Linked DNA regions of Tribolium castaneum. The protein of the gene in region 3 binds, or shares a complex with, the protein of the main gene of each other region. Links are inferred from orthologs where the notes say so. Each region holds a gene or a part of one and is shown on either strand. Other genes may lie near its edges.

The links.
Region 1: mip130 (region 3) and retinoblastoma-like protein 1 share a complex: the UniProt entries of both Homo sapiens proteins name them as parts of the DREAM complex. The link is inferred for Tribolium castaneum from reciprocal best matches to the Homo sapiens genes LIN9 and RBL1.
Region 2: the proteins of mip130 (region 3) and mip40 are in contact, whole or in part, in a crystal structure (PDB 7N40), measured with the Homo sapiens proteins. The link is inferred for Tribolium castaneum from reciprocal best matches to the Homo sapiens genes LIN9 and LIN37. Residues at the interface, in NP_001353174.1 of Homo sapiens: Lys99, Ala101, Ser102, Gln103, Lys104, Ile105, Gly106, Arg108, Leu109, Arg110, Leu112, Leu113, Lys114, His119, Trp121, Cys122, Ile123, Glu125, Trp126, Phe127, Thr227, Leu237, Phe238, Leu272, Ser273, Asn274; in NP_061977.1 of Homo sapiens: Tyr95, Ile97, Leu99, Phe100, Asp101, Arg102, Val104, Leu106, Ala107, Phe109, Ser110, Glu111, Asn112, Thr113, Pro114, Leu115, Tyr116, Ile118, Cys119, Arg120, Trp122, Met123, Asn125.
Region 4: the proteins of mip130 (region 3) and lin-52 are in contact, whole or in part, in a crystal structure (PDB 6C48), measured with the Homo sapiens proteins. The link is inferred for Tribolium castaneum from reciprocal best matches to the Homo sapiens genes LIN9 and LIN52. Residues at the interface, in NP_001353174.1 of Homo sapiens: Leu335, Gly336, Phe338, Phe342, Leu343, Ile344, Val346, Thr347, Leu349, Ser350, Lys351, Leu353, Met354, Lys356, Lys357, Ile360, Leu363, Arg364, Asn367, Thr368, Ala370, Glu371, Lys374, Ile382, Phe384, Gln385, Tyr388, Ala389, Val392, Leu395; in NP_001019845.2 of Homo sapiens: Asp61, Met64, Leu65, Leu68, Gly69, Leu71, Thr72, Thr73, Leu76, Met77, Val80, Leu83, Gln84, Leu86, Ala87, Leu90, Asp93, Glu94, Glu97, Met98, Arg100, Gly101, Leu104, Asn105, Ile106, Leu107, Glu108, Pro110.
Region 5: mip130 (region 3) and protein lin-54 homolog share a complex: the UniProt entries of both Homo sapiens proteins name them as parts of the DREAM complex. The link is inferred for Tribolium castaneum from reciprocal best matches to the Homo sapiens genes LIN9 and LIN54.

What each region holds. Positions count from the first base shown.
Region 1 is NC_087396.1:19,754,728-19,761,505, forward strand, and holds the start of retinoblastoma-like protein 1, read left to right. Parts: upstream 1-3,071; 5' UTR 3,072-3,489; coding exon 3,490-3,624; intron 3,625-3,670; coding exon 3,671-3,804; intron 3,805-3,854; coding exon 3,855-4,070; intron 4,071-4,123; coding exon 4,124-4,602; intron 4,603-4,714; coding exon 4,715-4,768; intron 4,769-4,820; coding exon 4,821-4,858; intron 4,859-4,903; coding exon 4,904-5,073; intron 5,074-5,123; coding exon 5,124-5,313; intron 5,314-5,364; coding exon 5,365-5,568; intron 5,569-6,627; coding exon 6,628-6,778. Other genes in the region: WD repeat-containing protein 64, read left to right, coding at 363-403, 653-986, 1,036-1,359, 1,407-1,565, 1,615-1,803, 1,860-2,051, 2,110-2,450, 2,505-2,661 and 1 more. UniProt on the Homo sapiens protein: Key regulator of entry into cell division. Directly involved in heterochromatin formation by maintaining overall chromatin structure and, in particular, that of constitutive heterochromatin by stabilizing histone methylation.
Region 2 is NC_087399.1:3,374,115-3,379,721, forward strand, and holds mip40 (protein lin-37 homolog), read right to left. Parts: upstream 2,897-5,607; 5' UTR 2,824-2,896; coding exon 2,645-2,823; intron 2,600-2,644; coding exon 2,426-2,599; intron 2,376-2,425; coding exon 2,213-2,375; intron 2,167-2,212; coding exon 2,018-2,166; intron 1,970-2,017; coding exon 1,948-1,969; 3' UTR 1,859-1,947; downstream 1-1,858. Other genes in the region: Wbp2 (WW domain-binding protein 2), read left to right, coding at 1-45, 99-146; RE1-silencing transcription factor B, read right to left, coding at 853-1,578; uncharacterized protein LOC107398505, read left to right, coding at 4,655-4,726, 4,775-5,269; uncharacterized protein LOC103314014, read right to left, coding at 5,327-5,607.
Region 3 is NC_087402.1:5,410,845-5,417,533, reverse strand, and holds mip130 (protein lin-9 homolog), read right to left. Parts: upstream 4,205-6,689; 5' UTR 4,023-4,204; coding exon 4,004-4,022; exon of another isoform or gene 3,909-4,003; intron 3,867-3,908; exon of another isoform or gene 3,720-3,866; intron 3,678-3,719; coding exon 1,903-3,677; 3' UTR 1,705-1,902; downstream 1-1,704. Other genes in the region: nuclear pore complex protein Nup50, read left to right, coding at 390-548, 603-1,604; uncharacterized protein LOC103312737, read left to right, coding at 4,506-4,687, 4,803-5,035, 5,320-5,585, 5,633-5,801, 5,843-5,951, 5,996-6,234, 6,283-6,446; rtv (uncharacterized protein LOC103312675 precursor), read left to right, coding at 6,577-6,649. UniProt on the Homo sapiens protein: Acts as a tumor suppressor. Inhibits DNA synthesis. Its ability to inhibit oncogenic transformation is mediated through its association with RB1. Plays a role in the expression of genes required for the G1/S transition.
Region 4 is NC_087402.1:6,134,630-6,139,913, reverse strand, and holds lin-52 (protein lin-52 homolog), read left to right. Parts: upstream 1-2,530; 5' UTR 2,531-2,644; coding exon 2,645-2,678; intron 2,679-2,871; coding exon 2,872-2,961; intron 2,962-3,012; coding exon 3,013-3,114; intron 3,115-3,167; coding exon 3,168-3,313; 3' UTR 3,314-3,560; downstream 3,561-5,284. Other genes in the region: probable protein phosphatase 2C T23F11.1, read right to left, coding at 1,380-1,998.
Region 5 is NC_087399.1:5,897,199-5,903,995, reverse strand, and holds the start of protein lin-54 homolog, read right to left. Parts: upstream 3,918-6,797; 5' UTR 3,788-3,917; coding exon 3,769-3,787; intron 3,490-3,768; coding exon 3,334-3,489; intron 3,288-3,333; coding exon 2,374-3,287; intron 338-2,373; coding exon 1-337. Other genes in the region: voltage-dependent anion-selective channel, read left to right, coding at 6,607-6,797. UniProt on the Homo sapiens protein: Component of the DREAM complex, a multiprotein complex that can both act as a transcription activator or repressor depending on the context. In G0 phase, the complex binds to more than 800 promoters and is required for repression of E2F target genes.

The DNA.
Region 1 (6,778 bases), on a different chromosome or scaffold from region 3:
AAAGTAAATAAATTATGCTTCTTATTTTATCGCCTTGTTTATTACTTAAAACACCAAACGTAATAAAAAATAATAATAAAAACATGACCTCAGTTGTAACCTATATTCATATAAAGACTGTTCCAAAATTACCTGTTCAAGTTCAACCAAAATTTATTATTTTTTTGTGCTTTTGCTTTTTCTGTGACATAGATATCCCGAAATCATTTATTGTTTGTCGATCATTCTAATAAGACGCGTATGAGTTGTTTGATCGATATAAGTACACCGTTTTAGTTAGGTGGTTATACCAGTTATAGTGAACAAAAACAAGTAATAACAAATTTAAATACAATCAGTGAGATAATTATAGATTAAACCTAATGGAAAAACATCTGCCTGGAGTGGATTGTTTAGGAACTAGGTATTATTGCATTTTTTGATGATCGAACACTACAATAAGTTTGCTAATAAAGATATCTAAATACAAATATTTTACTTCATCTACAACAATTATTACAAATTTATCTGCCTAAAATTTATTATAAACGATAGGAAAAGAATTGTTGAATTTGCCCGGCGCATCCACCATTTTTACCTAATTTTATGGTGGTTCAGTAATTTATTTTGTAAACATTTCGTAGCTAATTATGATTATTTTCTCATAATACAGTTCAAATGCTGAAGAAGACACGGTTCACTCGTGGTACGACTTAATTCAAAACCTCACGGTTCCTCACTTGGACGTGATGCAAAATGAGTTTCAAAACAAAAACGACGATAAAACCCTCACAAAAGAAGAGTTTTTTAACACTGTTAACGCCATTTTCGCCAATACGGAGTATTCGCAAGCGAGCATTGCATTATACGAGCAAATCGCAAAAAATGGGGAACCACAAATTACTTGGAGTAAATTTGTGGAATTTTTTTTACAAAATTTAATGCCTGCGGATCACCAAACTATCAATTTCCAAGTATCGAGCATTATTGCCATTCCTCAGACTAAGGTACTGATATTATTATTTTTTCTTGGTGTACCTAACAACTATATTACAGAGAGAAACGATAATTAAAATTGTGCGAATAGAAACCGAAAAATATTTTTGCTACGCTATGATATCCAAACACGGCAGAGTCGGTTTATATGATGGCAATCTTAATTTTTTAACAACATATCAGTTGATAATGACCCGAGAGGATATTCATCGGAAGGAAGAAGACCGAAGACGGAGGAACCGGTGGGTCACTGACGCAATTTTTTGCGCTGATGTTTTAATGTTTATTGCCACTAATACGGCACGGAGTGTGGTAATTTATGAAGCTTCCGGACTTAAACACGTGCCACTGTATCTTGTTTTGAGTACACCTAACATTGTTCAAGTATGTATTTTCCTACAGTAGTTACGGTCTAATTGAAACTATTTTAGTGCTTTGCTTACAAAAGCAGCATTTGTGACGAAAATGGCCAAAGTACGCTTTTTATGGGAGATGACAAAGGCACGGTTTTTTCTTTTACATTTTTGCAGCCCAAAGCAGCACTTTTGAGGAAAAAACACAACGACAGAATTAATTTATTCTACTGGGATGTACGTCCGATTTTTTGTCACTGTACAAACAGATTAGATAATTTTGCAGGAGTTACCAGATGAAAGTGATTACGTTGTTGTTAAACGTAACGGGCGTCTACATCAAGAGAGTGTCAAATGGCTTGTATATTTTAATGATAATGAAACTCTTATTTCTTGCAGCAAAGACTCAAATGTGTCAATATTAATACATTATATCGGAAATAAAAACAAGCCGTACATTTTCAAGATACAAAAAGTAAGTAACACAGTCACTGTTACGAAAGTTGTCATATTTATTTATTAAACCGCTAGGGTTGTAACTGTTTTGCATTAAGCAGAATACGTAAGATACTAGCCACAGGAAGCGAAAATTCTGTTCTGAGATTGTGGAACCCTATTATTACCTCAAAACCAATCGCAATTTTGAAAGGACATCAAGCACCGATTATGGACGTTAAAATATTGGATAAACTAAATTTACTTATTAGTTGTTCAGCTGATGCAGTATATTTTTCTATTTTGCATTTAATTCTATTTACTAATTTTTGTATAATTGTTGTAGATGTTTAAATTATGGGATTTGGAAAAACAAAAGTGCATTCAAAGTTTTTCTATCAGTTTCCCGTCTTTTAAAGTGTTTGGAAAATTAATTGAATGGGGAATTGAATGCATTTATCCCGGCCCTAAACGCACTTCCTTTAATGAGATTGAGATCGAACTTTTTGAAAGATCACCACTGTTAATCACTTGTTGCAATCACATCGCTGTTATTAAAATAGTAAATCAGAGCAACGAAATACAGAAAATTGTTGAATCGCAAGTTTTGCCTCCACCTCCTCTACAAAATAGTGTTTTGATTCCAAAAATGTGGAGAACGTCTGATAGTCCCGAAACAATAAATAAGTATGATTTTTTTTCTAAACCTCGTTTTTTATTAAATTGTTAACGCTATTACAGAGAAGAACAGTTTGAAGAAGCAATTGATGACAAATTTCTCAAAGAAAAAATAAAAGAGTTGGAATTTATTCTAAAAAAAGACCTGTTTGCAAATGATGGCTCAAGTAAGAGCGATATCAATTTCAAAATTGCGACATTAGAGCGAAAAAAAGTGCAGGCATGTATAGCAATGAATTGATTTTATTTATGTCAACAAATAATATTTAGATGCGAGAAAACGTTGCACGCGGTGCTCCCTATTTAGCCCTGGAGCTACCCGAAGTGAGCGACCTATACCTAACACCAAACTTGCCCGTCCCTGACAAAAAGAAAACGAAAAATATTGTGGAAAAAATCGAGAAAGTTTTACAAGACGCCAGTTACAAGGACTTGGTATTTTCGGAACCCTCCTCCAGCCGCTCGCCACGGTCCTCACGAAGCAGTGTTATTGAATTTGACTAGTATCACTGTAATAAAAATTTTTGTAATAAAAATTAAAATTCATCTTGCGCGCGTCCCCAAGCCAGCAGGTGAAGCTTCCACTAATGCGAAACTTCCCTAAACGGTGTTTGTGTTTGGCGCTAAGAATTGGCGGGAAAGCCCATTTCTCTCCCCTTTTCGTGCCCACAGCAGCTGTATTGGCACATAGTGTCCTAATTAATTAAAGTGTGGCTAAAAACTTGCAAAGTGCTTCGATTATAAAGTTACTGGTAACTTTCCAAATTTGGGTTTGAGGTTACCCTCCATGCGCAGTCAAAAGTAGTTCTGGCTGATCGACAAAAAACTGTGTACGTATTCGCGCGTAAACGCCGAAATATTTTGGATTTTAGCGGCATTTCCTCGTCGAAAATAATGTGCAAAGCGGGAAAGTCGGGGTTTGAGCGTGATTGTGTTGTTTTTTAGTCGTCTCTTGTGTGGATTCCCGCCTTTTGTAGGCGTTGTCAAGAGCTCAATGGTGGCTAGTGGTGCGAAATTGTTTAGCAGCGGTTTGTAATTGTTGGAAATCATGGTGTTATCAAGCGAAACCGAAGAATTGGAGGAGAAACACTCAGAACTGTGCAACAAACTGCACCTGAGCCAACAGATTTCCAGAGACGCTTGGGAGCGATTTGAGACAATTAACAAGAATTTCACTCTGGAGGTGAGTCTCAACCCCTTAAATCACTGCAAACTATCGGGATTTTCAGGGGGAGCCCCTCCACTGGATAGGGTGTGCAATATACGTGTCGTGTTGGAAGTCCATCGCTGCAACGGCTGCACAAAATAGTGTTCACACGAATTGTGTTAACTTGACCAATCTTCTGCGTCATTGTAACTTAAGGTCAGCCAACAACAAACAGTCTTTGGGTTATTTTTAACGCATGGTTACAGCATAGCACAGTTCTTTTACAAAATCAAACAATGGTCGGACATGGCCAGCATGCCTGAGGAGTTCAAAAAGCGGATTGAGTATCTGGAAGGGAGCTTCTCTGTGGCTTACAACGTTTTTAAAGAATACCAGCCTCTCTTTATGCAAATATTTAAGGCACCTAAAGCTCCAGAAGCGCACGAACTGGACACAAGTAAACACAGAAACCGGAAAAATAAGTAAGAAGTCTCTCTAAACCAATTTATTTCAACTACGAAATTGTATATTTTAGACCTGTGCCTTCGTCCCCACTCAAAGTCTTCGAGTTTTGTTGGACCTTGTTTATCACAATAAAAAGTGAAGACACGAATTATAACAACGACTTGGTCACGTCGTGTCATTTACTTATTGCCATTTGCGACTGGGCGTTCAAACATGCGCTCCAAGCCGACCGCAAGGATCTCCTAAACCCCGACTTTGCGGGCCTGCCTGAAGACTTCGCCCAGCCCAGCTATGTGCCCCCTTCGGAGGCCCCTTGCATCGTCAGCTTACTGTGCCCCAGTCCGAACATAATCACCGACCTGAAGTACGTAAAAGAGTACCAGTTCAAAAAATCGATTCGGAATTATCTCGACCAAGGCGTCTTGATTGAGAACGACCAAGGCGATGTCTTGGACACCTCGGTGTTTGACCATAATTACAAAAGCATTGGGAACGTGTACGAGAAAAATATCCTGAATAAGAGCGATTTTGACGAGCGCATTTTCCTGGGTGAGTGATTTTACAGCTAGTCCAATCATATGGCGAGCCAGCTGCGCAAACAGCTGACTGTCTTACCTGAACAGATGCTCCTGACCTTGCCCTAACACCTGTTTCATTCCAGCTGAGTACAAAAGAAAACTTCTAGTGAGAGACCAGAGTGTGGCGCAAAATGCAGGTAATTTGAATCGAGAAATCTATGATCAAACAATTGAATTTTGCAATTTCAGCTGACAACGCAAGTCCGGAGTTATCGACCAAAGAAATGGTATTTTATTTTTGTGTGTGGTATTTTTTTTACGTTTGTTAATAGGTTGTTAGTAAAGAGTGTTTGACGCCGCTCACTGGCCGCAAATATTTGGGCCCGAAGGAGTCGCAAGAGTCGACTCCGCTTGTGACAGCTACTGAAAGCATTTCAAGGCTTAATAACTTGCTTCATGGGCGCCAGCCGGCCCCCAGTGAGGCTTTAGTGCAATTGTTTGAGTAATTATGACGCCCAGAGTGGTTGAACGTGTCTATGATGATGTTTTAAGGTCTTGTGCTCGCAATCCAACTGAGAGAATCAATCAAATTGTTACAAATTTGGGGGAGAGGTTTCTGGAAGGCCACCCAGTTGACCAAAGAGAAGTAGCACAAAGGCGACTGCAGCTCGCGACAACTTTGTTTTATAAATTTATTGAAAGTATTCTGCAGAATGAGCGCTCAATACATGCTGATTTATCGGTATGTTTTTTAATTATTATTTGTTCTGTAGTATTTTTATTGTTTTTTTAGGCCATTGTGGAAAAAGACGTATTTTACGAATGTATGTTTGCTTGTTGTTTAGAAATTGTTATTTATTCATACAATAGTCGGCAAAGGTTCCCCTGGATATTGAAAGCACTGCAAATACAACCATATAATTTTGTTAAAGTGATTGAACTTATCATTCGCTCAAGAGATAAGCTTTCAAGGGACACTATCAAACACCTTAATATGGTAAGAACATTACAGTCGGGATGTTTTTTTGATTTGAGATTTCGTGAAACTGTGCAAAAAATCATAAAATTTTCTCAAAAATAGACCAAAATATGTTTCAATATACTCTCCACCTCTAAATAAAATTAGTTCGTCAAATTAAAAAAAAGCGGAAATTATGAAATTAGTTCAAAAATAGTGTAATTTTTCGCCATTTAAACACGTGTTTGCGCTAGAAACTAAATTTGTTCGTGAAATTACGCTGAACTGGGGCAGAAAAAAAACTAGCAGTGACATTTATTTCCTATTTAAGAGGGTTTTAACACGGTTTGCATATGTAAGGACACAATTATTTTAAAGAATTTTGGCGCAAGTTTAAAGAAATTAAATTATTGTGCTCGAAAACGGTGTTATTGTCTGGTTTTTTTTGAACTAAAAAATTAAATTACGTTAAATGGTTTAAGTATATTTTCTAGTTAGCAAATTTTTAATTTAAGACGAAATCTTTAAATTGAAGCGGTAAGTACGTGTTTGAGCTAAAAACTCATTTTCTTCGCTAAATTTCGCTAATCTCTGCCAGAAAAATCGTCAAAGTCGGTTGAGAATGTCATTTATTTTGCTTTTTTTAAGGGTTTAAACGTGTTTTTCATCAAGAAACGCAATTATTTTAATCTTTTTCGAGAAATAAAACACATTTTTGAGCTCAATAGTCAGGTTTTTCGCGACGTTTTGATAAACTGGACTGAAAAATCATTAAGAAATTAGGTCAAATTGATTTTTCTACACTATCTTGTAGACAGGTTTTATAAAAATCCTCTTCTTTTAATCAATTTTTGAAAGTTTTCAAGGGCCATATAATAAGAAATGCATAACTGTATTTTATTTGAATATTTAATTGTCGAATTTACGAGTAAATATTTTGTTTTAAAGCTTCAGATATCTTCTACATATAAAGCAAACAGTGAAGAAGGATTATGATTTATTTCAATCACTGATAATTTATTATAATTAGTCAGCAGTTTCTGTTTCTCATTCTGTTCTCCACCTTTACTCTGTTTTGTATGAAACTGTCGTTTTTAGATCGAGGAAACTATACTTTCCTCGCTGGTCTGGAAATCAGACAGTTTAATTTGGGAAGCAATAACATCTTCCGATAGGGAAGTACCGAAATTCGAAGAGACGGCTTTGCCAGGGCATATGCAAAATGAACCAAGTTCTGAAAACTTAACCT
Region 2 (5,607 bases), on a different chromosome or scaffold from region 3:
CCCAATCGGCCACAGATGGCGTTCGTGCCGCCGCCGGCTTATTACGTAAGACAGGGAGACCAATCGCAGTTAGAAAAAAAAACACTATTTTGTTTTAGGAAAATCCCCCAAGTTACAGCCAAGCTACCAATAAGAAGGAACAGTGATGGGGTCACGTGACACTTAAAATTTGTATCAATTCTTTCTAATGTCTTTATCCAATTATGCAAAAGTATTATTTGTTGGTTTTTAATTGTTGCATCATTCCATTGATAGGTCCACGAAATATGCATGCGTTTTTTACGGCAAGGCTTTGCAATAGTTTGAGGCACTTATTTGCTTGGAAATTTTGTATAGTTGAGATTATTGTAATATAATTATTCTTATAACGTGTAGATAGATCTGTATAATGCAAATAAATATTTTATGTGCAAATGTGCACGCACTTGTTTTTCTGCCAGTGCTACAATCCCACAATAAGTCCCAAAATATGAATTTGAAAAAAGGAAACGAGAAGTCAAAGGGGAGATTTTACCTGATCGCCACCGCAGGTTTCTTGTACTCGGGCACTTTGAAAAAAACATCTTCATAATAAATACGATCACCGAAAACCACTCCGCGCACGATCGCGAATGTAAAATAATCACCAAGGGCTCGAGAATTAATCGAAACACAAAAGGAAACAACTAGATTTTATACTTTTTTAGGTTACGTTAAAAAACTGACAAGCGGATTGTGATTGGTTGGCGTCGCCACGTGACCGGCTTCGGCCAATCACGCGCGTGAAATGAAACACAGCACATGCGACTTGAGTGTTTTATTTGATTTGAGGTAAAAAATACGAATAAATCCGGTTATTTATAAATCCCTAAACTAAAAAAACGAATGTTTGTGGCTGATGTGTCTGTCCAAATTGGACTTTTTGACCGTTCGATACTCGCACCTTTCACATTTGTACCAACTGAAGTTGAGTTTGGCATGTGTTAACGTATGCCTCGTAAATTCTTCGGATGTTTTGGTCACAAACTCGCACTTTTTACAATCAAATATCTTCAAGCCGTGTTTGTGTGCCCTGTGCCTCAGCAGATGGGGCTCCGTGATGAACACCTCCCCGCACTCTGTGCACTTGTTCTCGTGTGCTCCCTTCGTGTGTTTCGCCATATCGGCCTCCTGGGGGCACACGAACTCGCAGTGCTGGCACACATACCAGTTTAACTTGCCCAGTTGGGTGTGTTTGATGATGACGTGCTGGCGCAACTGCTCCTTGGTTTCGGTCTTGAAGTCGCACTGGTTGCAGGTGTGCCACTTGAGGGTCCCCAGACCCGTGTGTTGGCACAGGATGGGGTCCACGGTCTTGTCCACACAACGGTCGATATATGACGTGTCCATGCTGTTGAAAAACTCGATTCGTTTCTTGAGGGGGTCGAACCGGGGGGCTTCCGAGATGTAGTTGCGGATGGCTTCCATGTCCTGGGCGATTTGCTTGTCTAGGGTAGAGTTTATGGTGTAAAAACGGTTCTCTTCCTCGTCGAGCTCCGGGGCTTCGGGCTCGTCGTCGTCGTCAATAATGTAGGTCTCGATTTCGGTCGAGGTGGCCATTTTTACGATAATTACACTTTCACATAATTTTTCTAAATTGTTTGGGCTTAAAAACAGGTAAAAATTGTAGAAGTTAGGTTAGGACGACTGACAGCTGTCAACAATGTCAGTGCTCAAATTGTCAAAAAAAAACATTCAAAATATTTTAAAGATAAAAAAGGGGCCTGAGAGTCTCTAGGCTAATAAATACATTCATAATATGTGGATAAACATTTCGCTCGTTTGGGTTTGAATGGTCAGGTTGGCAAGAGAATTTCTCGGGGTGTATATTAAAACTGCATTTTGTTGTAAAATGGTTTATTAAATGCGTTGACAAAATCACTACTTTCATTACAACACACAATACAATAAAATTCCAAGTGTTAAAAACTATTCCATTGCTTCTTGTGCCCTGAAAAACAGAAAATTAAACTAGACGAAATTGTACGTGTTTTCGTACTTATTGTAAATAGTTTGGAGCATTTGCGTGCTCAAATGATACCGTTCCTCGTTTTTAACCGCAGTGTCAATCCACTTCTTCTTGACCTTGACCCACCTTTGCAGGTGATTCCTGATCAAGATATCTTTGGGAACAGGTGGACATTCCTCCTGTGATGAAACGATCAATTTTTAGTAATAAATTGTACCATCTTACATAATTCAAATTTATATTATCCTTGTTTTGTTCCGTTTGTTCAGGCAAAGGTGATGGGATTCTACTGACCACGGGACCTATAGGGGGCGGCAACCTGTGCAAGTCTGTGATCATGCTCGTATTCCAGTTAAATTCATTAGGTTCAGGTGACGATAATCGGCGCCTAAATAATTTGGTTTAAAATTGAGTTGGCAACAATGATTGCAAACTCACTTAACGATTGATTGCGGATTTCGGGGCTGGTTCTGCATCCAAGCCCTGCAAATGGGGTACAAGGGAGTGTCCTCCTCAAACCGGGCCAAATCTACGCTTCTGTCGAATAATTTCATAACGTAGGTGTGGCGGTAGGGGGTTAGGACAGAGTCGCCTTTACGTTTGCGATTTTCGCTACAAAAATTAGTGAAAAATTGGCCAAAAAAAAGTTTAAATTACTATTTGGAACTCCGTTCATCGGACGAGTCGCTGTCGGAGTCACTTTTCTCAGTTAGTTGCTTGAGGACGCCTTTGAGGCGGCCCTTGGCCATCAAGTAGTCATTGCCCAGGACGTTCTCCTCCTTCACTTCCACCTTAATTGAGCCCAAATTTGACGAAAACTTGCGTTTTTTGGTCATTTTGTTATTTTGAATTGTAACAGTCAATAATGAGGTTAAGGCAAGCGTCACTATGTGAGCACCAACAGAACCGCCTCAAATGTTACTGTTGTGTAACCAAAAAAAAAGCCAGAAGAGTGTGGAAGTTTTTCGATTTGTTGTGTAAAATAATAATATTACAATAGTGCTCCACTTTACTTTGAAAATAGGAAAAAAAAGAATTGTTTTTTGTGACTGAATCACCCACCGAAACAACTTTTTTAGTTGTTATGTTTGCCAGCTTGTCATTTTTAAGTCAAAAGTACCGAGTTTTTTATTATAAATCGTTTAATAGAGTTGTAAAAGCCAGATCTGCGTATGTGTAACGGTTTTTATATTTATTTCGTTTTAACACAGTTGTATTGTTTTGAATAAATTTTTAAATAACAAATAATTTTGTTTTATTTCAAACGCTCAAAATAAATAATTATGTGTTCTCATTTTCCTTATTTACTTGTAATTCCTTCAATTACTTTTTTATTGAGTGAATAATAGTCAACAATTTTATTTTTATTCGACAATCTCAACAAAATTAATGACACTCATGGAGCAAAAAATCTTCTGTTTGGTGGCAATGCGCCTCCAAACCGTCTGAAACCTGTACCTCCCCGGCCAGAAAGGCGTCTCAAAATGCAGCTCAAAGGGCCATCTTTTTACCGAGTAATTCCCCGCAGGGATGGGACATGTACCAGGCCGTTCCATCCCCATAACTTTGCCCAACCTAACCATTGAATCTTTGCTATACTTCATCAAAGTTTTACAAACATCTTTCTGGAAAGGAACACCTGGAAACGACTTCCAGCCGCCATCGACAAATCTTTCGATAAAATAAGTCCCTTCAGAGGTGTCATCCACCGCATGGGCGAAGGAAAATTCCATGGTAATGGCCCGATGGGTGCGGTTAAGCCGATCAATGCGGATAAGTTTCATGGGGATTTCAAGTTTATCATTATCAGGGCATAAGTAAGCGGATTCAAGGTCCGCAGTGAATCTGTTTACTAACTAAAATGTAAATGTTATAATTTGAAGAAAAAAATAGGTGGAAAAGTGTTACAAAACTGACGCTGACGGTGTTTCCAATAAATGAAAGTAGTAACAAGTTTTCGAGAAACATTGCGTGTTATTTGTAGACTGAAATTGGACGAAAAAATCATTACATGAGTCAAATATACGTCACAAAATGATTGTTTTTGCATATTTTGTCCTAAAAGAGTGTTAGATATCAATTAATCCACAAAATTTTTTGAAAAAAAAATATTTTTTTTGAATTTTTTTTATTTAATTTGACTTAAACAATCATTGACAAGACTTTTAAAAAAATTATTTCTAACACTTAATTGTCTCAAAATTATGATTGTTCTATTCATAATTGCAATATGTAACATTTTCCCGGCGCATCCACCATTTTTAATTGTCCTATAAATTCTTATAATAACTGTAGATTCAATTAGAAGCAACTCATCTAGTATCCACAAAAAAACCCTTACCTGTATTTTACAAATTACTTAAAAAGTAGTCAAACAACTGTAAATACAGCCAGTTTCAAAAATCCATTCGGAAAAATTTTCAGTAAAATGGTCAAGAATGACTGTTAGCAAAAATAAATTTTATTTTTTTATGATACAACAAAATCATTGTTATAGTAAATCATATGTTGTGTTTAAAATCTTTCATTGGTTGTTTGTCAAAAATTCATTTTTATCTCCAATCTCTCATCCGTTTTGTTGCGTATAATAATAACCTCTGGCATGAGCATATAATTGCAAACCTATAAATTAATTGTGTTTTTGTCAAAACTGGCACGAACTACGAAATGTCCTTCCAACTTTTGCGACCCATCCTCTGCTTAATTTTTTTCACCCCAAAAACCACAAACGGCAATTTCGTAAGCCCAATCACCCAATTACAAAAACACCTAAATTTTTTATTCCAGCTCACGAGTAAATTTAAAGCAGACTTGGAAACGGGTTATTTATGCCCTGATAACGACAAACTCGAAGTCCCTATCAGACTTTTCCGAATCGATCGTTTCAATCGCACCCATCGTGCCATCTCCATTGATTTTACATTCGCAAAGCCTTTGGACGAAACGGCAGAAGGTGCAATTTTCGTGGAAAAGTACACTGAAGGAGACTGGAAAATGCTACCGTCCTTGACGTGGCAGAAAGATCCGTGTAACAGTATCGGGATGAGATATGGGCGGGAGAGTATGATCAGGACTGGGAAAGCCCTAGGGTGGAAAAATCCAGACAAGTGCCCCATACCGGCCGGGAATTATTCCATGATAAGGCACCCCTTTATCACTTATCATGACACGCCCTTCTGGCCGGGACGGTTCAGGGTCCAGATGGTCATGAGGCGGATTGCCACCAAGAGGAAAATCTTCTGCACCATGACCATAATGAACTTTGTCGAAACCGTCAATTAATAATCACCAATAAATAATTATACGCTCACTTTATCTATTACTTTATTGTGTAACTAGTTAAACCCTCTCAACAACATTTAAAATAGTCATCACACAAAAAATCAACTGTTTTGTCGCAATCCTCCTTGACATGGCAATAGTCCTAATCCTCCCCGGCCAGAAGGGATAATCATACTTCAACTGAAAGGGAAACCTGACCACTGAATAATTCCCAGCCGGAATGGGGCACCGCTCTGGGTGTTTCAACCCCATGGCCTTCCCGAACCTTATATGCCCGTTTTTCTCGTGCTGTAGCTGGAAATTGCATGGGTCTTTCTGCCATGACCACATGGGAAAGC
Region 3 (6,689 bases):
GGTGAAAGGGTTAAATAAACTTTATGGAATTTTCGTCTCGCTTCGTTTCAATTACACCAGTCTAAAAACAAACACCGGAAAGAAGTCAAAAAATGAGATTCGTATCCGCTACGACTGGCAAAAAATTCCACCGGAAAAATACCGCCAAATTTTAAGTTCGTAGTCACGTGATTAAATTCCCGCCAATCAGCGTTTGCCTGATACGAGCCGGCACGCATAGTGGTTGTCAATTTTTGTAAATTATTTTACCCAAAAAAGTGCTTAAAACGAATTTTTCCGTCTCACGACATGCAAATCATTAAATAAGCCAATTCTGTGATAGTCTATGTTTTGTGAAATTGTTTGGAAGTGTGTCGGTATCTTAACCTCGCAAATTCGTTTCTCCATTTATGGCTAAAAGAACGGCAACAAGTGATTTAAATCACGATAATTGGGATAGGGAGGACGAACCAGAGACGGCTGGAACGTTTACAAAAGCTTCAGATGAAGCTTTGAAGAACAGAGTTATAAAAGTTGCCCGCAGGAGGAACCCCATATCATCAGTCCAAGTCAGTACGGTTTCTAATGTGTGTTGTTTGATTACGAACAATTTTAATTTTTAGAGTGACGATAGCAAACCCAGCGCATTCGGTGGTTTTTCTGGGTTTGGTAAAACGCCAAGTAGTGCATCCAACACGTTTGGATTTTTGTCAAACTTAAATAAAACCGAGACTAGTAAAACCAACGGAACTACGGAAAAAGAAGCAGAGACTTCCGACAAGAAATTAGACGAATATTATGCCAAATTAAAAGGATTAAATGAAAGTGTCACTGAATGGATAAAAAAACACGTGTCATCAAACCCGTTTATCAACTTACAACCAATTTTCAAAGATTACGATAAATATATCAACGAACTTGAAAAGGCGAAAGGCGAGGCAGCGTCAGAAACATCAACTAGTGCCACAACTGCGCCCCAATTTTCCTTTGGTACAACCTCTACAACCACAACTCCTAAATTTTCATTTGGGGCCACTTCTACCGCATCCACAGGATTTTCATTTGGCTCCAGTACCACAACAGTTAGTTTCACTTCAAGCACTAGCACAGCTACCCTATCAGGAGGCGACAGCTCCTTTAAATCGCAACCGTTTTCGTTTGGTAATTCAGGCTCTGACAGCGGCAAATTTTCATTCACAAGCACTGTCATAAAACTAGCAGATGAGCCAAAGCCCCAAGAGCAAGAAGACGAAGACGAGCCGCCCAAAGTTGAGTTTACGCCAGTGGTAGAAGAGGGACACATTTATTCAATCAGATGCAAGGTTTTTGTGAAGAAGGATGGCACTTTTGGAGACCATGGCGTGGGCACTCTGTACCTCAAGCCAGTCCCAAACGGCGAGAAAGTCCAACTCATCGTGCGCGCTGATACGAATTTAGGAAAATTAATTTGTAATTTCATTTTGTCGGAAAGTATCCCAATGCAAAGGATGGGGAAAAAGGATGTTATGTTAGTTTGTATTCCAAATCCAGACACGCAACCTCCACCCGTGCCGATTTTATTGCGGGTGAAAAGTCCGGAAGATGCCGATGAGTTGTTGAAAACTTTGCAGAAACACAAAAAATAGGCTAGGGGTGATTAGCTCAATAAAATATTTTTCTAAGTAGACGTTTTTTTTTTCAAACCAATTTTGATAAAAATTTGAACAGTTCTAAAATTACATATGGTGCCTCATATATACATTTTTATTAATTACACAAGTAAAATATACACATTCTGTGAAATACCCACAAAAATACAGTAATTATAAATAAAACCCGCGGTAAACAGTAAGATAAAACGAGACGTGTAAATCGAAATTGTGGCCATTATAGTATTGCACAGCATTCTGCTTTAAAAACCTGCATTTTTAAAGAAAAAAAGTATCATAGTTTGGAAATTCCATTTATGGCGAGTTTTTTATCTAAATTTTGCCCGAGACCGACTTGAATGTGTTTCATGTGAATTTCGACGGAGTTCTGGAACACTAGTTGATTACTTGGCGTCAACTTCCTCTTGATTTGTTCCATCGTGCCTTGGAGCACTTGCAATTCGTATGCGTTTTGATCCGAATCGGCCAAACTTTTTACTTGCAACATCAAAGCCGTGAGATCGGTGATGAGTTCCAGAATCGATTTATTCTTAACTGGATCCTTGTCGGCCGAAATGATCGAATTCTGTCTTTGTACAATTTCAGCGGCCTCTTCTCGGCACTTTTCCCTCAAATGGCTTGGCGCCAGCATCGCCGCCACGCTCGGCTCAGGGGCGATTTCCTGGCAGAGCGCCTGAACATCATCCAGATACAGCTGCAAATCGTGATTTAACTTCTCAAGATCGATCAAAATGCAGGCGTAATTCCGCTGAAACTCTTCAGGAATCTCCGAATGAAACGAATTAAATTTCTCCGCCTTGGCGTTCATGCCCTTCAGTTCGCTGATTTTCGTCCTCTTGACGCTGAGGATTTTCGTGATTAAGACCATTTTTTCCAAAAGTTTGGTCGGGTATCCCCCTATCCGGCCCTCCTCCTGCGGGAAAATGGGCTTATTGATCATCGAACCCGACAGTAAGGGATCTTTCTTGAATTTTAGGTTTGTGTAAGGGGAGATTTTCGCCGCGTATGTTGTGATCCCGTTCCAGGGTCTGAACTTGTTCTGGAAGCTGGACAACGAGAGGGTTTCGGGTGGTTCGTTTGATAAAACTTCATAATCAGGCACAGAATGTGTGCCTAATCCCTGGCGCTCGAATGTTATTCTGTAGGTGTTGTTTGAGGTGTCCACAGCGTCAATGCTTCCGGTGAATAATCCGTCTTGTGGCTTTCTAAGCCTGGCTGTTACTTTTGTACCGATAACCAATTGCATGGGGATTTCAGGTGGCAAGTCTTTAAAACTCGAAAGTTCGGTGGCTTTCCTCTGTTGTAACGCTCTGATTTTTTTCCGTTTTTTCTCCAATTCTAATCTCTCCTCGTGAAAGAAAGCTTGAGAGCAACGTCGGGGTTTCCCCATCATTCTTCGAATTTTGGTCCATTGTACTCTCGTCAGCTCTCGTGTTTTTAACTCAGGAAACGACTCCTTTAGACAGATACTAAAATCATTTTCCCCCGAAAACAAACACCGGTCGATATCGCTGTAAAACCACTCGTAGCAGACCCATTTGTGTGCCTTGGGCAACTTGAGCACATTTCTCAATCTGAGTCCGATTTTCTGCCCGATTTTCCGATCGGGCGATTGAAGGGGCGGTGGTGAAATATTCCGAGGCGACTTGACGTCCCTCGGTGTGTTTCTCTTGGGCGTTTCTTTGAAACTTTTCGTGGGAGTGTTAACTTTGGGTTTTTTCACAGGCGTTTGCTTCATTTTTTTCGCAGAAGGTACCCTGTGATGTGGCGTGTTGACGATATCGTCGTCGTAAAACAGTTTATTTTTCTTCCTGATCCTTGCAGGCATACCACGGGCGTTTAGGACTTGCGTTGGTTGAGTGGGTGGCGGTTTAGGTGCAGCTGGAGCACCCACTCTCTGCAGGCCCAGAGCCGCGGGCCCCAACGTGGGGACATCATCGTCGACGTCCATCCCGGACTCGTCCTCCTCGTCCGTCACCTCCTGCTTGACAGTGACCCCCTGCTCGTTCGTCATTCTGCGCCCGTTTCTGAACCCTGAATCTGATTCACCTGGATTCAAATAAAAACAACAATGACTACATCGCCCCTTACATAAACTCGTTTTTATTAGTAGTCACGATCCACGCATTCCCATTTCGCTTTAGCAATATTGGGACGAAAATTCAAATTTTGAATTTGGTACAACAATATTTTCAAATTTAAAACATCGTTCCCACCAAAACATTCCATTATTTGCGGGTCTTACTGCGCTACCAGGGGGTAATAAAGGGGGCGACTTACTCGACAAAGGCCCAAAGATTAATTCTGGGGCAATTTTCACAACCAAAACACTCGAATTTCTCCGGAATTTATCAAACTAGACGCGTTTTACTTACTTTCAAGTTCGTCCGCCATATTGACGTCAAGTTAGGGAATTATGGGAGATTTACGCGGCATCATTGACGCGCCCTAAACACCAGACGCGATCTAATCACAATTTTCACTCAAACTTTCACAAAATTGGGACAAAGCCCTTCTGCCACCACCAGAACAGTAGTACAATTATCACACCGAAAGAATTAGGCTTGCTAATAATGCAGGACTTGAAATTAATTTTGTTTATTCTCCAATCATCTGATCAAAGATTGCGTCCTGGTAACAGCCCGCCACGAATTAAAAATAGCAACGCTTCAAATTTGGCTCGTTTTTGTGAAATGCACAGGGAAAAGCTTCTCTAGGGTTCGAACGGGACGCTGGAAATTGTCTCAAGCCTATTTTCACGTCGTGAAATTGACCTAACGATTTTTTTGAATTCGTAAAAATGAGACATTGCGCAAGTCACATCATGGCCCGCCTTGGAAACAATTGAAATACGAAATCGATGCATATTTATCAAAAATGATACTATCACTGATAAGGATTTTCCTGCTAATTTCTATTTTAAAAACAAGTTGTACGTTGGACGATATTTACAAAAATTGCAGGGACAGGGAGCGACTAATTGAACCTGAAAAAGGTGACCTCTACACATTAATTGATGCAACGCTTGATCAAAAGTTAACGTTGCAGTGCCATTATTGGTATGCTAATGCCTAATTTGTTATTAGTCGATAAAAGTAAGCTTTCATTTAATTACAATTCACGAGAGCTTGGCCAATTGCGAAAATGTTTCTCACAAGTTGCTTTTAAATATAGCGGCGAAAACGACGACGGGAGACCAAAAATTTGGTACAAAATCGGGGATATTGGAAGCCCTGCACCTTCCGAAGTGGATTTGGACATGAACAATAATTCTACATTGGCGAGAGTCCACGTAAACAAAGAGCACAGCTTGATTATTCATAATTTTACCGAAAATGACACGGGGCTGTATTACTGTGAGCGATACGAAGGAGAGCAGCAAGACAAGTACAATTATTTGGTCGATCGTAAGTCCAAACGTAAAATATAAACAATTTTATCGCCCCAATCTTCAGTCAAAAAATCCGCGTTTTTGCGAGTAGTCGCTACTAGTAATTAAAACTTACGAAAGCCAGCGAAAGCACACTTTGTACAGTTCACACTCACTTAAATTCGCTGTTAGAATTTTGCCGAAAACTCAATTTAAACACAGAAAAAAATTCCGCCTCTATAACCTCTACACATTTCATATTTTTTTGCGCGTTGTGTTGGCGTCCCTGACAACTCAGACGCGCCAAAGTTTCAATTTTAGTCATTTTCCACGATAACGTTACGACGCTGGAAACGGGCAATATCACAGTTTGGCGCAAATACCACGATGAATATTTCCTGCCAATCAATATGTTATTTAACCACTCGGAGGGTGTGGAATTCCGGCACATCCGCGAGCAATTACACGTTGAAATGGAAATGGTCACAATCTGGGGGCCGTGGGGCATTTGCCAGGTGTGTGGGCGCCCGAAAGACGAAGGGATTAGGAAAAAAGTCGGTTACTGCAGAATTAAATTAACACAAAAGGTTTTTTACGCCACATCCCCACAATTAAACTCAAATTATATCGATAGGGCAGTGCCTCATTGCAAAATAACACCGACTTACATTTTATCAAAAACGCAAACGAAATTGCCTGTCGCTCGAAAATTTTGGGCAGGATTTTGCCCGGTGTTAGCAACTTGACCCGAATTATACCGAATTTTGTGCAAACGGAGGCCTGCCAAGGGACTTGTAACCCCGGTAAAAATTTTACAGTGGACGGTTTGGTAAAATAGTAATAGATGCGGAGGGTTTTAGTAAGGGTTGGAAAGCGGGCAAAACTTCAGCGTTCAAGTATCGAAAAATTTTCGTCCTGGCTGAAGGCTCGCACTTAACTTTAGTGTGCCCGGAGTAAGTCGTCTCAATTAATTTCCGCTTAATTATTACACTTAAAGATCAACTCTGGAAAATAAAGTTGTTTGGAAGAAGAACGGTAAAGTTCTGGAAGCCGGAAAAAGCGTCACGCCCCCAAATCCAGAAGACGAACCCCGGATTATTGTCGATACTTTTAACACTTTGTATTTAGTCAGCGTCAAAGAATCGGAGGAAGGCAATTACACTTGTCAAGTGGATGATATCAGGATGCAACAGATAATTATTTTTACGATATCGAAAGCACGAATATTGACTCAAGGTTGTTGAAAAAATGTGGTCATAAGTCCTTATGTAACAATGATTTAAGCTTTTGTTCGCCATATGATGTATTTGGGATTAGTTTTATCTCTTACACTGCCCTGCTATTGTGCTGGGCTTGTAATAGTGTGTAGTAAAAAACGGACTTATAAAAATTACGAAGAACTGAAAGAGGAGGACGCCCGGAAACACCGATACCTGAAATTAACTTAAATACACAAATTTATGCAACCAACAATGCGTTTTATTTCTTGTGCGACTACCTACATAAATTCTCAAGGTATTCGCGATCGCCAAGAGAAAGTTTAGAGTGGAATGTCTCCTTCTGCAAGTTTGACGTAAAATGGGTCTGTTTAGATCAATTTTACTTAGTGTTTCATTCATCTTTCTCATTTTTACTCCAAAATTAACAAATGGTAAGTGCCGTATTCAAATTTTGTGTTTGTGCTCTTCCGA
Region 4 (5,284 bases), about 720 kb from region 3:
TAAAATAAAAAGGTGAAAATAACGTAAATTTATATTAATAGTGATTTTTCGGCGCGTTTGATTAAAATTACTCCCTAAAAGTGAGTTTTTTAGCTTAACTAATTATCAAGGTGACTTTATTTTTAAGGAAAATTTGGCAAATTGTTTTACTTTTTCACACATAAAACGAGTTAATCTTAGGGAAAGAGATAAAATTGAATCAAAATAACATCACTTTCCCGCACGGAAGGAAATTCGTCAAAAATGAGTGAGTTTTTTATTCAAAATATTTTTCAATGTAGAGGAGGGTGGAGTAAAATGATCCATCTAAGAGAAGGATTATGATGTGCTAAATTTTTAGACCTTTGGTAAAAGATTATAATCTTCTAAATCGGAACCATGATCGCACTACTAGTTTTCTTGCTTTTTGGAGGGGTCATTTTACCCCAGTTTCCCCTAATTAGGTGATTTTTCATGGTTAAACAAAATTTAGCTTTGATGTTGAATTCACGAGCCGCCACTGAATCGGCACTTTTTAATAGTGGTCCATTGAATTAATTTTGAATTTTAACCTTGATTTTAGGCCGGAACCGCAAAACGTAAAATTACTCAAGCGGTTAGGGAATTTTATTTATTTGGAATTTCGGGTTTTACTACTTAAAATTCAGGTGTTGCGGTTTTCTTAATATTAGCAATGCTAATTTTTTAAGAAGATATCGATCACTTTGTAGTGTCAACGTTCGCTAAATAATAATTCTAATTCTGGACTGTACTATTAAATGATTTATTTTTAACGTAGCCACTTTTTCCGTGTATTTTCTTCCTTATTTTACTCTTTACAAACAAAGACATAATCGCGTGCGGCCGTTTCATGTTTGACCTATCGAAGTTTTATCACAAACGCGACAAATTAATGTTTACTTGACTAGCATTTACCTATCAAGCAGGTCAACGGACTAAATAAAGAAAAAACTATTACAACAGATGTAATACAAGAAAAAATTGCGTCAAGTGATATCACGAATGTTTTTCTTCGGATGTCGGTGTGTTAACAACCTGACGTAGTTCAGATAATGCACACTTTGTGACGTTATACGAGGCGATAAGTTAGTCTTTTAATCACTTAGTGGTGGTCGCCTATTAATAACAATTGTAAATATTTTTAATTAATGAATGACACAAGTGGAACACCGCCAGATTACTTAATTCGTAACATATGCTGACAACGTAACTTTAAAAATAACACACCCTTTGAATCAAATGGGACCATCCATCAACTGATGTAATTATTTACCTAAGTACCCAATTACTCACTTGATCTAAATATACACAATTCATAAAAGACTAACATAAATATTGACAGTGTTTAAACAAGATTAGCTCGCAATTTCCAGACTTACCTGTAACGATTTGTTCCTCCTGGGGTTTATCCTCGTTTCTTTTGAAAATAAAATCACCGAGGGCCCTGGAAAGGGCCAAGTTCCCGTTAACCCTGTTGTAATCAACAAACCCTCCCGCCGCTACGATCCTGTCGTACTCCTCCTTGTTGTTCGGCTTGTGGTCGTTCGAAAGCGGCTCCGCCTTGCCCCCAATGCTCGCCACAGCTCTAGAGTCCCCCACGTTGGCGCAGTACAACGTGCCATTTTTGATAATAATAGTGACGGCTGTGGAGCCCGACTGCTCGTTTCTCAACGACTCATCCTCCAGCATGACCCGGTCGATCTCCAAGAAGGCCTGCTTCAGCCCCTCCTCGATCTGGCCGTTCTTGTACTCCTCCCGGTTCGTGATAAACTTGTGCAGGTGCTTGCCCGCGTACTCCGAGATCTTGGAGCCCCCATGCCCGTCGTAGACCGCGAAAAACGCGGCCTCGGGGTCGTCCGGCAGGGACAAGATGTGCGTATGGGAGTCCTCCATGTTGATGCGCCAGCCCTGCATCGAACTTGAGCCCACTTGGAAATTGGCGTTTTGGCAGCATGCTGTGTTCTTGGCAGTCACCGGTTCGGACAAAGTTTGACCCATAGTACCCCTGAAAGGGCGATAAGTCCGCAAAAAGCGCAAAAACACGAGGCAAGCGGGAAAAAACCGTCGCTACTTACTCAAAATTGAACTCTGCTCTTTGGATGGGTTTTATTTAGCATACTTGTGCTAAATCGAATCGCATATTTTGCGTACGCTAATTAACACCGCTTTTTGCTGTTGTGTGTCACGAGATATGGAACGCAATATTTAGGTTAATCGGGAGAGAACTCTTCGAAAAAAGAGAAACTTGACGTTTGAATGTCGAGCTGGGACGCGGCCGGCTGAGTGCGTCATCGCCTGTGCACAAGGCCGAAAACTTTTTTATGTCCTAAACAATAAAAATGTGCGGCACGTTCTTCAAATAAAAACTATTGACAATAAATTCGTTGTTACTTATTACTAATTAAATTACGATTTGATTTTACAATCTTGGCGAGGGAAGCGCCAACATTGCGACACTTAATACACCAGCCAAATTTAAAAACCAAACTTTTACGAAATTGGGGGCAAGTGAATCGGGGTTGACACCCAATTAGGGTCATTTGCGACTTTTGCTCGTTCTGTATAGTGTTTCTTTGCCGCTTTCAAAGTCCCCCTAAAAGCGCAGCCTTTTGATTACGTTTGCTGCAGTTGGCACAATTGCAAGATGGCGTCCGAGAAACCCGGGAGCATTGAACAAGGTAAAGCATTTTTAATAAAAAATCACCCTGTAAATGTTACTTTTGGCTCAATTTAATTATTAAACGATTGTTGAGGCCTTGCATGGACAGTTTACGCGAAATTGTCGGCTAGCGTGCGTGGACAAGTTCGCATTTTAAACAGAGTGGCTTATGTCAATCTGTCAAAATATAATTGATTTGTTGCATTTCCTAGAGCAAGATCAATCTTTGAGCGATCTAGAGCAGACCTTAATGAGTATGGAAAATCTGGATAGAGCCTCTCCAGAAATTTGGCCAGAGAAGTGTAAGTAGCGTTGCACATGTTTGTGGGATTAGGGCAATAATAGGGTTTCAGATCCAGGAATGACAGATTTTGTAAACAGTTTCACGCCACCAAGTGCCGTAAAACTGCCTTACTCGAAGGAATTGAGTCAGGATGACCAGAATTATCTGCACCGTAAGTTTGGATTAGTTTTTGTGTGATTGTAGAGAAGAGTGTGGTTTTTGTAGAATTAGCAGCTCTTCCAACAGCTGGACTGATTTCTAAAGTCAAGGAGTTGCATGATATTGCATATCAGTTGGGTGTTGAGGAATCGAAAGAAGTCACAAGGGGGAAATACTTAAATGTTTTTAAGCCCAGGCAGAAGCAGAAATGATTTGCAATTTGTTACCTAAGTAGAGGTTCCAAATAACGTGGAAGTTATAAAAAGAGCAGGGGAAATATATTTGTACATAGGATTATAAGTTTAAGTTTAAAGAAGTGATTGTACGTTAATTTCCTGGAGAAAATCATTTTTGTAATGTATTATTAAGCAAGTGCTTCAAAAGGATTTATGTATTATATTGCACTGCTGAAGTTTCGTTTGTATAATAAAAATCGAAAATAAATTTGGTTTTGTAAAAGGTGTCTTCATTTTCTACAATTAAAATTTTGTTCCCCGTTAGCTCACCAAAACAATAATGAGGTGATGCATTATTATTATTATTATTATTATTATTATTACTGAACCCAGCAGCTTCCTAGATTAAAAATATCCGGTGGAATGTAAATTGATAATTATTTTTGCAGGAGATTAAGCTCTCTAATAGGGCCTTCAACTGTAAAAAATCATGTTCGGACAAACATTCCTTAGGACCTTAACATTTTTTTAATTTTTATAAAATTTCTCGATTTTGCAAATTGCGTTAAAAAACTCGTATTTAAGGATTGCTCTAATTAGTCAAATTAATAACTCATTTGTCCAGCAAGAACCAGAAGAAGGTTTAGAACATTCTTGCCAGGAAAAAAGGAATTAAGGATGAGGTAAACAATGATTATTAGAAAATAAAGGAATTATTTATGAAAAAAAAACAACACATAAATCAAATATTTTTTACTTGGCGTTAAATAAGATGCACCTACCTTCATATGGTTTCTGCGTTGGCTACTGTTTGTAGTTTGAAAATGTAAAAATTTTTACTTTTATGAATTTTGTGTCCGTTTCTGCTCTTTTAGAGCGTTATTAATTATTATTGAGTAGGTTTAAGGGTAGACAAATCTTCCTTGAGTCAACGACATAAACTTTAGTGTGATTTATTGAAATGTCTATTGGGCAAAAATAAACTTTTCGTGTCAAACATTTACATTAAAAAGGGTGTTTGATCGTTTATAAAGGGCGTGTACAAGCACAAGTACAACAACTTTTCTGTAAAAGCATTTTGCAAAATTTTTATTCATTATTTTCACTATTTTCCTTCTTTCCGGTAATAACTGATTCACTCTTCGGGGACTATTTTGAATATTGTAATAAATTTTCAAAGTTTGCGAAGAAAATGTTTTTTCGCGTAGAATGGCTGCAACCAACAATCCACTCTTGAAGAAAAACGCTTTAATTTTAATTAAAAACCAAAAGTCACTACTTATTTTCATTGAATTACATTGAACACTTATAAAAATTGTTAGTTCCCTTCATGTTGTTGAAAAAAAATATTTTGACTGCTGTTTGATGTGAATTATGTCCTCGCTTCGTTTTAAAAACGGCCTGAACTTTTGTAACTTTACTCTGGCTTGAATCAATGCTTTAGCTTCAATAATGCCGTTTCCATATTTTATATCCTGACCTTGTAATGGGCCTACAAAATCTCAATCAGATTCAATAGCTTCGTCCTTTTACAAACTCTCATTTCCTGCATTATATCCAAAAAAAAAACTGTCCAATACGCTTAAAAATTTCACAAAGAAAGTCGAAGTAAAGATATAAAATAGTGTCGTAACATCAATTACTAAATTTGTTTACCGTAATAATGTCAATAAAATGTTACACTGATCATTACAACATTATTTATTTAATGGAATTGCTACAACCATCTAGGTCCATTTCGCATAAATATAAAACCTACGCTCGGACCCAATTATCTCAAAACTACACCACCTTCTTCGGCCCATTTTGGGCGCTCATCCGCCATTCCGTCCCGAAAAAATTAACGGATGCATAAAATAGCAAAAACTTTCTTATTTGATTCGTTATCCCGTCGCGTCGAGTTGCACGAAGTCAAAAGTATGCAAATACCTTCTTGCATTCTTCTCAAAGCCAATCTTCATCTATAAGTGCGTTAGATAGAGATAGGTGTCCAGGTAAATATGGTAG
Region 5 (6,797 bases), on a different chromosome or scaffold from region 3:
TGCCGTTGGACTCGAGATTGGACTCGGGTGTCATTGTGATACTCTCTGCGGATATTTGTTTGGTGGCGGAGGTGTGGCGCATGGGGATCGGCACTTTGGCTTGGACGTACGTTGGCAACATCACCACTTGACTGCTGCTGACGGGGGCTTTTGCAGCAATGTTTTTCAACGGTTTGGGGGCGATAGTTGCGCCTTGGGACGCCGGTTTGAGTTCCGACAAGACAATGTTGGTTGGGGACGCTTGCATTGACGATTTTACGGTCGTGAGGGTGGAGGCTCCCGAGGAAAAGGGCGTGGTCTCGGCATTGGTGGCCGTCACAAACTTAATGTATTGCATCTGAAAAGGAGAAAATTAATTCAGTAAATTGAAACACAACGGCGTTTTTCGACCAAGTTCCGGGCTTATTTTGGAAAATACACGAAAAAAACAAATATATCATTTTATTCAAAATTTATTTTTTTGGGTCGTTTAAATGAAATAATTCGAAAACTGAGTTTTTAACAGGTGATACCATTTTCCAACTAAATTATTTTTGGACGGTTCTTTCGACGAAAATTTTTGAAATAAGTATATTACTAGCTGCAAAATGTACTGCAAGCACCAAAAAAAAGGCAGAAATAAAGTCATTATTTGAGATTAAGATGTACCTATTACGGGTACAAACACCCAAAAAAAAATATTGGTAAAAGGTGCTTGAACGCTCAAAAAATGCAAAAATGGCACAATTTTTAACATACTTTAAAACATTTTTCAATTTTAAATAAATGATAATTACACCGTTTTTGACATTATTTATTGTTTTTAGGTTAATATTTTACGAAAAATTTACGTTTTTGGCCGTAAAAGTCACTAATATTTCTTGAAAAGATAAAAATTTTATACTTTTTCACATAATTAGTGATATTTTTTGATCCATTTTAACAAAACCTCGCGAATAACTTGAGTTTTCAGCTCAAAAAGAACCAAAAATGGTCCAAATATAATCATTTTTCATAGAATTTAGCAATTTCTCGGTTTACTTTTATCTAGGTTCCGTAATCTTTTACATAATTTACCAGTTTACCGAAATCTCTTTCGAAAAAAATATAGAATTTTTAATTTAAAAACTGCTTAAACATTTGAAAATGACCAAAAATAACATTATTTTTGGTATAATTAGTAATTTTACAGCTTAGTTTGCAGTCTTCAAAGTAAAAGTTAAAACAAAAGCAATTGTATTCTTAAGAGTCCACTACAGTATTTTAATTTTTCTTTAACACTTATTATTGATGCACAGTAATTTTTTTTAAAGACCTTCTATTTAAAAAAACACTGAGAAAAATGGCTGAAATTCGGTGCTTTATAGCGTGGTATTCTCCTCCTTAATGAGTTAATGACATCGCTCTTATTAAAAAAAAATTCTAAATAGCAGTCTGGCTTTCTTAATTTGCTTTTTTGATCGAAAAATCGCGCGAAAAAATTCTTTTCATTAAAAAAAACATGAGAAACGTTCCCAAAAGGTAAAGATTGCATCTTTTCCGAACTAGTTTGGTCAATTTGGTGAATTTTGGTGCACTTTTTTTAATCACTTCCTTAAAATAATTATATTTTTTGCTAATAAATCGCAATAAAATGCTCGTAAAGTCAAGTTAATGCCATCAGAGAACTAACTTGGCGATTTTTTGGTCCAATCTAACAAAATTTAGTTAAAAATTTTGTGTTTAACGCTTAAAAGGGGCAACAATATTATCGTTTTTTTTTAGTTTATTTCTGATAAAACTCCTCTAAAAAGTTACAATTAGGTTCCTGGCTGGAAAGAGTATAAAACGCTCACAAAAAGCACAAAAACGCGTTCGCGTTTTGACTTTAGGAATTTTTTGTTCCAGTTTAACCAAAATCTCGCGATACGGTCTTTCTAAAGTCCTCAAAAAAAAAACGATGGAATTTTTTACCCACCTTATAGTGGCTTTTTGGGTTATTTGTAACGAAAGTCCTAGAAAGAATTGCGGTTCTGTCAGTAAAACCGATTAAAATGCTCCCAAAATGGCAAAGAAAAGTAAATTCTGATCTAATTTACTCATTTGATAGCTCAAGAAGTCTTTAGACGTTCGAAAAGGGAGAAAAACAATATCATTGTTCATATAATTCGGAGCTTTTTTGCTTACTTCTGATGATATTCCCCGAAATTATTCGTATCCTGGTTGTAAAAAATTCAAAAATAAAATTTTTCACATGATTCAGTGATTTTTCTTTACTACGAAACTCCTCAAAAAAACCTACTTAAACGCTTTAGAAATACAAAAATGCGATTTTCGAACCAATTTGATGATTTATCGACTAAGTTGGGCCCCAACTGGTCGAAATAATCAACTGATCCACCTTGAAAAACTCACCCCTTTCCCTGGAATATTAATCTGATGCAACTGTCCCGTGCTCAGCGCCTGCGTCCCTGCCACTTGTATAATTTGCGGCGAAGACAAAATCGTGTGCCCCGTCCCCGAACTCTTGAAAATAATCCTTTGGGGCACCTTCCCTCCAGTCGCCTGCGTAGCTGGAAGTATCTTCGTGGGCGACTTAATCTGACTCACGACCGTTTTCTGCCCCAACAACTGTCCTGGCGCCACTTGGGGCACAATTTTAATCGCCTTGGTGCCAGGATTATTCAAAACCATAGTACGCTTCGGTGTGGAAGTGGCCTGCGGGAGCACCTTGGTGGTGGTAATGAGCCCCATCTCCTGCGCTTGCTGAAGGGTTATAGTCTTGGCGGGGCTCGGAAGCGTGGTTTGCCCCGGCATTAGCTTGACTTGGTCGGCTTTCTGCACCACCATAATATGCCCCTGCTTGTTGGTGAACGTGGGGGTGGTCTTCGGGGGCGTTTTCTGCGTGGAGGTGACGATTTTCTTCATGACGACTTGCTTGGGCTGGACTAAGGTGGTGGTGACTGTTTTGACGGCGGGCTTGATGGCCACGGGGCGCCCCAAAGACACGTTGGCGAGGTTCAGCTCTTGGCCCCCGGATGAGACCAGTTTGATGGCTTGGTTGCCGCCAGTCCCCTGGAGGAGGAGGAGTTGTTGGCCGGGGGCCGGCTTCATGGCGATGGGGACCGCCTTGGCGGGTTTGGGGGCTATGGTCAGGGGGCGCAATGGGGGGATTGTGGAGGTTTTGATTTTGACGTCCGGGAGGATCTCCTCGGGGGAGGGGGCGCGTTCGGTTTCAATCTCAATCTCTTGGGCCCCTATTTCGGACTGCATGACGTCAGCGTCCACTTGACCGGTCTCCTCAACTGTCTCGATTATCACCTCTGGTTCTGAAACCTGTAGTTGAGGGCGATTTTGGGCAGAGGCCGGGCTTACCGTCGGTCTCCATGTCGTTTGAAAGGTGCAGCTCTTGGGACAGTTCCGCCAGTTGCTGGATGTCTGTGGAAGACAAACTCGTGAGGTTTGTCTCGGTCAGAGTGGCCCCATCGATGGTGAGAGTGTCCACGAGGGCCTCCACGTCTTCGTTGTTACCTGCAAGCGAGGCATTTTTGAATTCTGACCCCGGGAATTTCACACTTTTGGTTCAAATTGAAAAATTATTGACTCGTGTGTAAACCGCAATACCAGTTAAAGTGTGACTGGACGCGTCCATGGTGCTCGCAAATTCGCGCTAAGGCCCTAGGTTTGATTCAAATTTGGAGCCTCAAGTGAAAAGGACGCTTTTTAAAATCGCGCTCCTGGCGTGGAAAATTTGGCCACGAAACGACCCACAATTAAGAAGGAAGCCAGTGTCCAACGCAAATACACTACCTTTGTCACTGAAGGGCATAATTGCGCCCGATTTTACCGAATTTTCACAAAAATTAAAACTATTCAAAACACCATAGTCAAATTTGACATGTCACGTGACCAGGGAAGCGTTCAAACCACAGAACAGTAAGGGTTAAGAAGTGATAATTCCCTAGTAAATCACTGGCAACACGAGAATCCAGCGCCTCTGGTCCTGAAGTGCGTTACTACCACGGTAAAGCGCCACGTTTGAATAAATTCCTTTTATATTGTTTTTTATTATTTTTATCTTACAAGTTTCATTGCAAATTGTTTAAAATAAAAAAATATATTTTCATTTTAAACAAAGTGAAAACGTTTTATATTTATTTTAAACAAAATTTGCAATGAAACTTACAAAAAAAGTTGTTTTGGGGTAATAAAACACAGATTTTGTTAACATTTTTATTGTACACTTGAGTAACATAACAAATTAAATTTTTCAAAAAATTAAAGTATTGTATTATTTCTTAATTATACAAAAATTATCAAAAAATTAAATCAGTCAGTGTTGGCATGTTTTGCCTGTCTGCTCGAGACTTAAAACAAAATAAGGTCTGCTTTGCAATGACTTTTACCTTGTCTGTCAGCAAACAGTTGCCCACGCTACGACCACGAGGAGGTACAATTTTGAACTTACAGGATCCTCAATTTTGCAGGCATTCTTCCACAATTCTTGAAGCTTTGGATTCTTAGGGAAGGTGAAGAAATGCTTATTGGACTGTCCTTTGTTGGGAACATAACCACTGGTGCATCCGGGGTATTTGCAGGAATATTTGCGATAACCAGCCATGACTAAAGTTCGCTTGAGTAGTAGAAATCAAAAATCCGTCACTCCAGCCCAGAGACCAATGCCTTTAAAATAGAAAGAAACACCAATCAAAAAGATGAGGTTATATTAACAAAAGAAGAGATACTTATCTTTTTCGTCGGCGCTCAACACCAGGAATTGACTCACTAACGAACTGTAATCAGAATTTTTGCTTTGATTAAACGATTAAACAAATAATTACTACATACTTCCGGTAACACGTTGAACGATGAGTGACAAAACAACACTTTTGGCGCGATATTTTCGAAGCGATCTTTTTAGCGATCTGCGCGCAAGCCATAGAATATAGTAGTTATAGAAAATCAAGTAACACGTAATTCACTGGTCGTCAAAATTTCGATAATAGCGCCATATCTTGGTAGTATGAGGAACTAAAATTGGCGGCAAATTTAAATATTTTATTATTTATACAATTAATTTAATATTATAATTTTTTTACAATTTAAACACACATAACCGATTTTATTGAAAATCGGTTAAATGTGTTTAATTGCAAAATTTTGTTAGTATTATAAATATAAAGAAAAAATAAATACAATGAATGAAAATAATTTATTAATGAATTAACGTTTATAAGAAATAAATGTCGTGTTTGGCTTCCACATTTAATTTGGCAACTTTCTCACCCTCAAAACCGGTTATTTAACATTATTTTGAAACTTAGAAAAAAATTAAAGCACTAAGTAAGTAAATACGGACTCTAATAAGGTACCATTGGAGTTTTGGACATGTGCCCAATTCAATTTTCACAGAAAAGTAGTGCTTTTAATAGTATGTGCAAACATTTCTTGCATGTTTTCGTGTTGGTTGTAGACTCACGTAAATGACTTTACAACAAATTTACTTATATGAACTTATTATGAGTAAGAGGTTTTTCTGATTTTAATGTAAGGACTCCACTTTCGTGGATTCACCAGTCTTGAAACTTAACGGTAAAAAGGAGGGAGTTCAAGATACGTTTTTGTGGCTTTTATACAAATGAATGAATGAACGCGTGTATTAAATAAAAGACACTATGTGCAAGGTAGAAGTCTTAAACGGTGTCCATCATAGATGTCCACTCAAAAAATGAAATTTGGTTTAAATTCTCGAAGTTATTTTTGGTGCCCAAGTCGATTTGTTTCTGGATAACTTTCACAAGTAAAGAGATGCACTGTTTCCAGAATCATGTGTTCCAGCCAGCTAGAAGTTGTTTAATAAACGTTGTAGGTTGCCTTTTAAGTGTATAATAGGTCCATACCAGAGCTGGAGATATGTATTACATAGTATTTTTGGTGGCAAAAAAATCCCGACTTACCAAATTTTAGCCTTCGAAAGTTCAAAACTTAAATGTTTTTGAGATTACTTTAGGAGTAGATAACACCAACAAACGAATTCAAATAAGAATAAAAAGAGAAAACCACGAACACAACACGTAGCAGAATAATTCAAATTGGAAATTGAAACATTTAAAATTGAAAAAACTTTTTGACACCGTTGAATGTAGTGTGACATTGCGCGCCAAAGGTTGCTTAATATTTTGGATTTTTGGATAAATTCGTCGATTTAATTTGAAATCACACTACCAAAAGATGGCATAAGTAGTTTCTATTAACGACCGTGCTACGTACCCCAAATTTACAGAAATCTGCATAGATAACGCACGTGGCGCCGCATGTTGATAGTATGATTTAATAAACCGTTTCTCCTATGCCGCTTGACTAACCCTGGCGCAAGCGTAGATGTCATTGTTACGTCAAAAAATATAATTTAATGAAATCCCTAATAAATACCCCCATGAGGGTTAGTTCAAACCGCTGCCAACGGTCGCACGCAAAAACCCTAACCCGGCCCCAAAATCCGGGGAAATGAAAATTTCCGGGAAAAACAACCGGAACTTGGCAACAATAAATCAAGTGACGTTTCGTACTTGTCTTTTTTTCCAAAACAAATGTCATAGTCACAATGCGAGAAAATAAGTGCTAAAGATCGGTTCGTTTTCTCATAAAATGGAAAATCCTCTAACCAAAAGTGAGGAGAAGAAGTTCGGGTACCCCAAAGTACGAGATTCGGACGTTAAAAATGAAAAACCAAAAGTTGAAGTTAGGCGCTTGCAGTACGACCCTAACCCTAAGGTCGGGGACTGGAAAAAGACGTGCTCGCCCAGCTGTTGCCCCTCGTTATCGGGCGAAGAACGCCT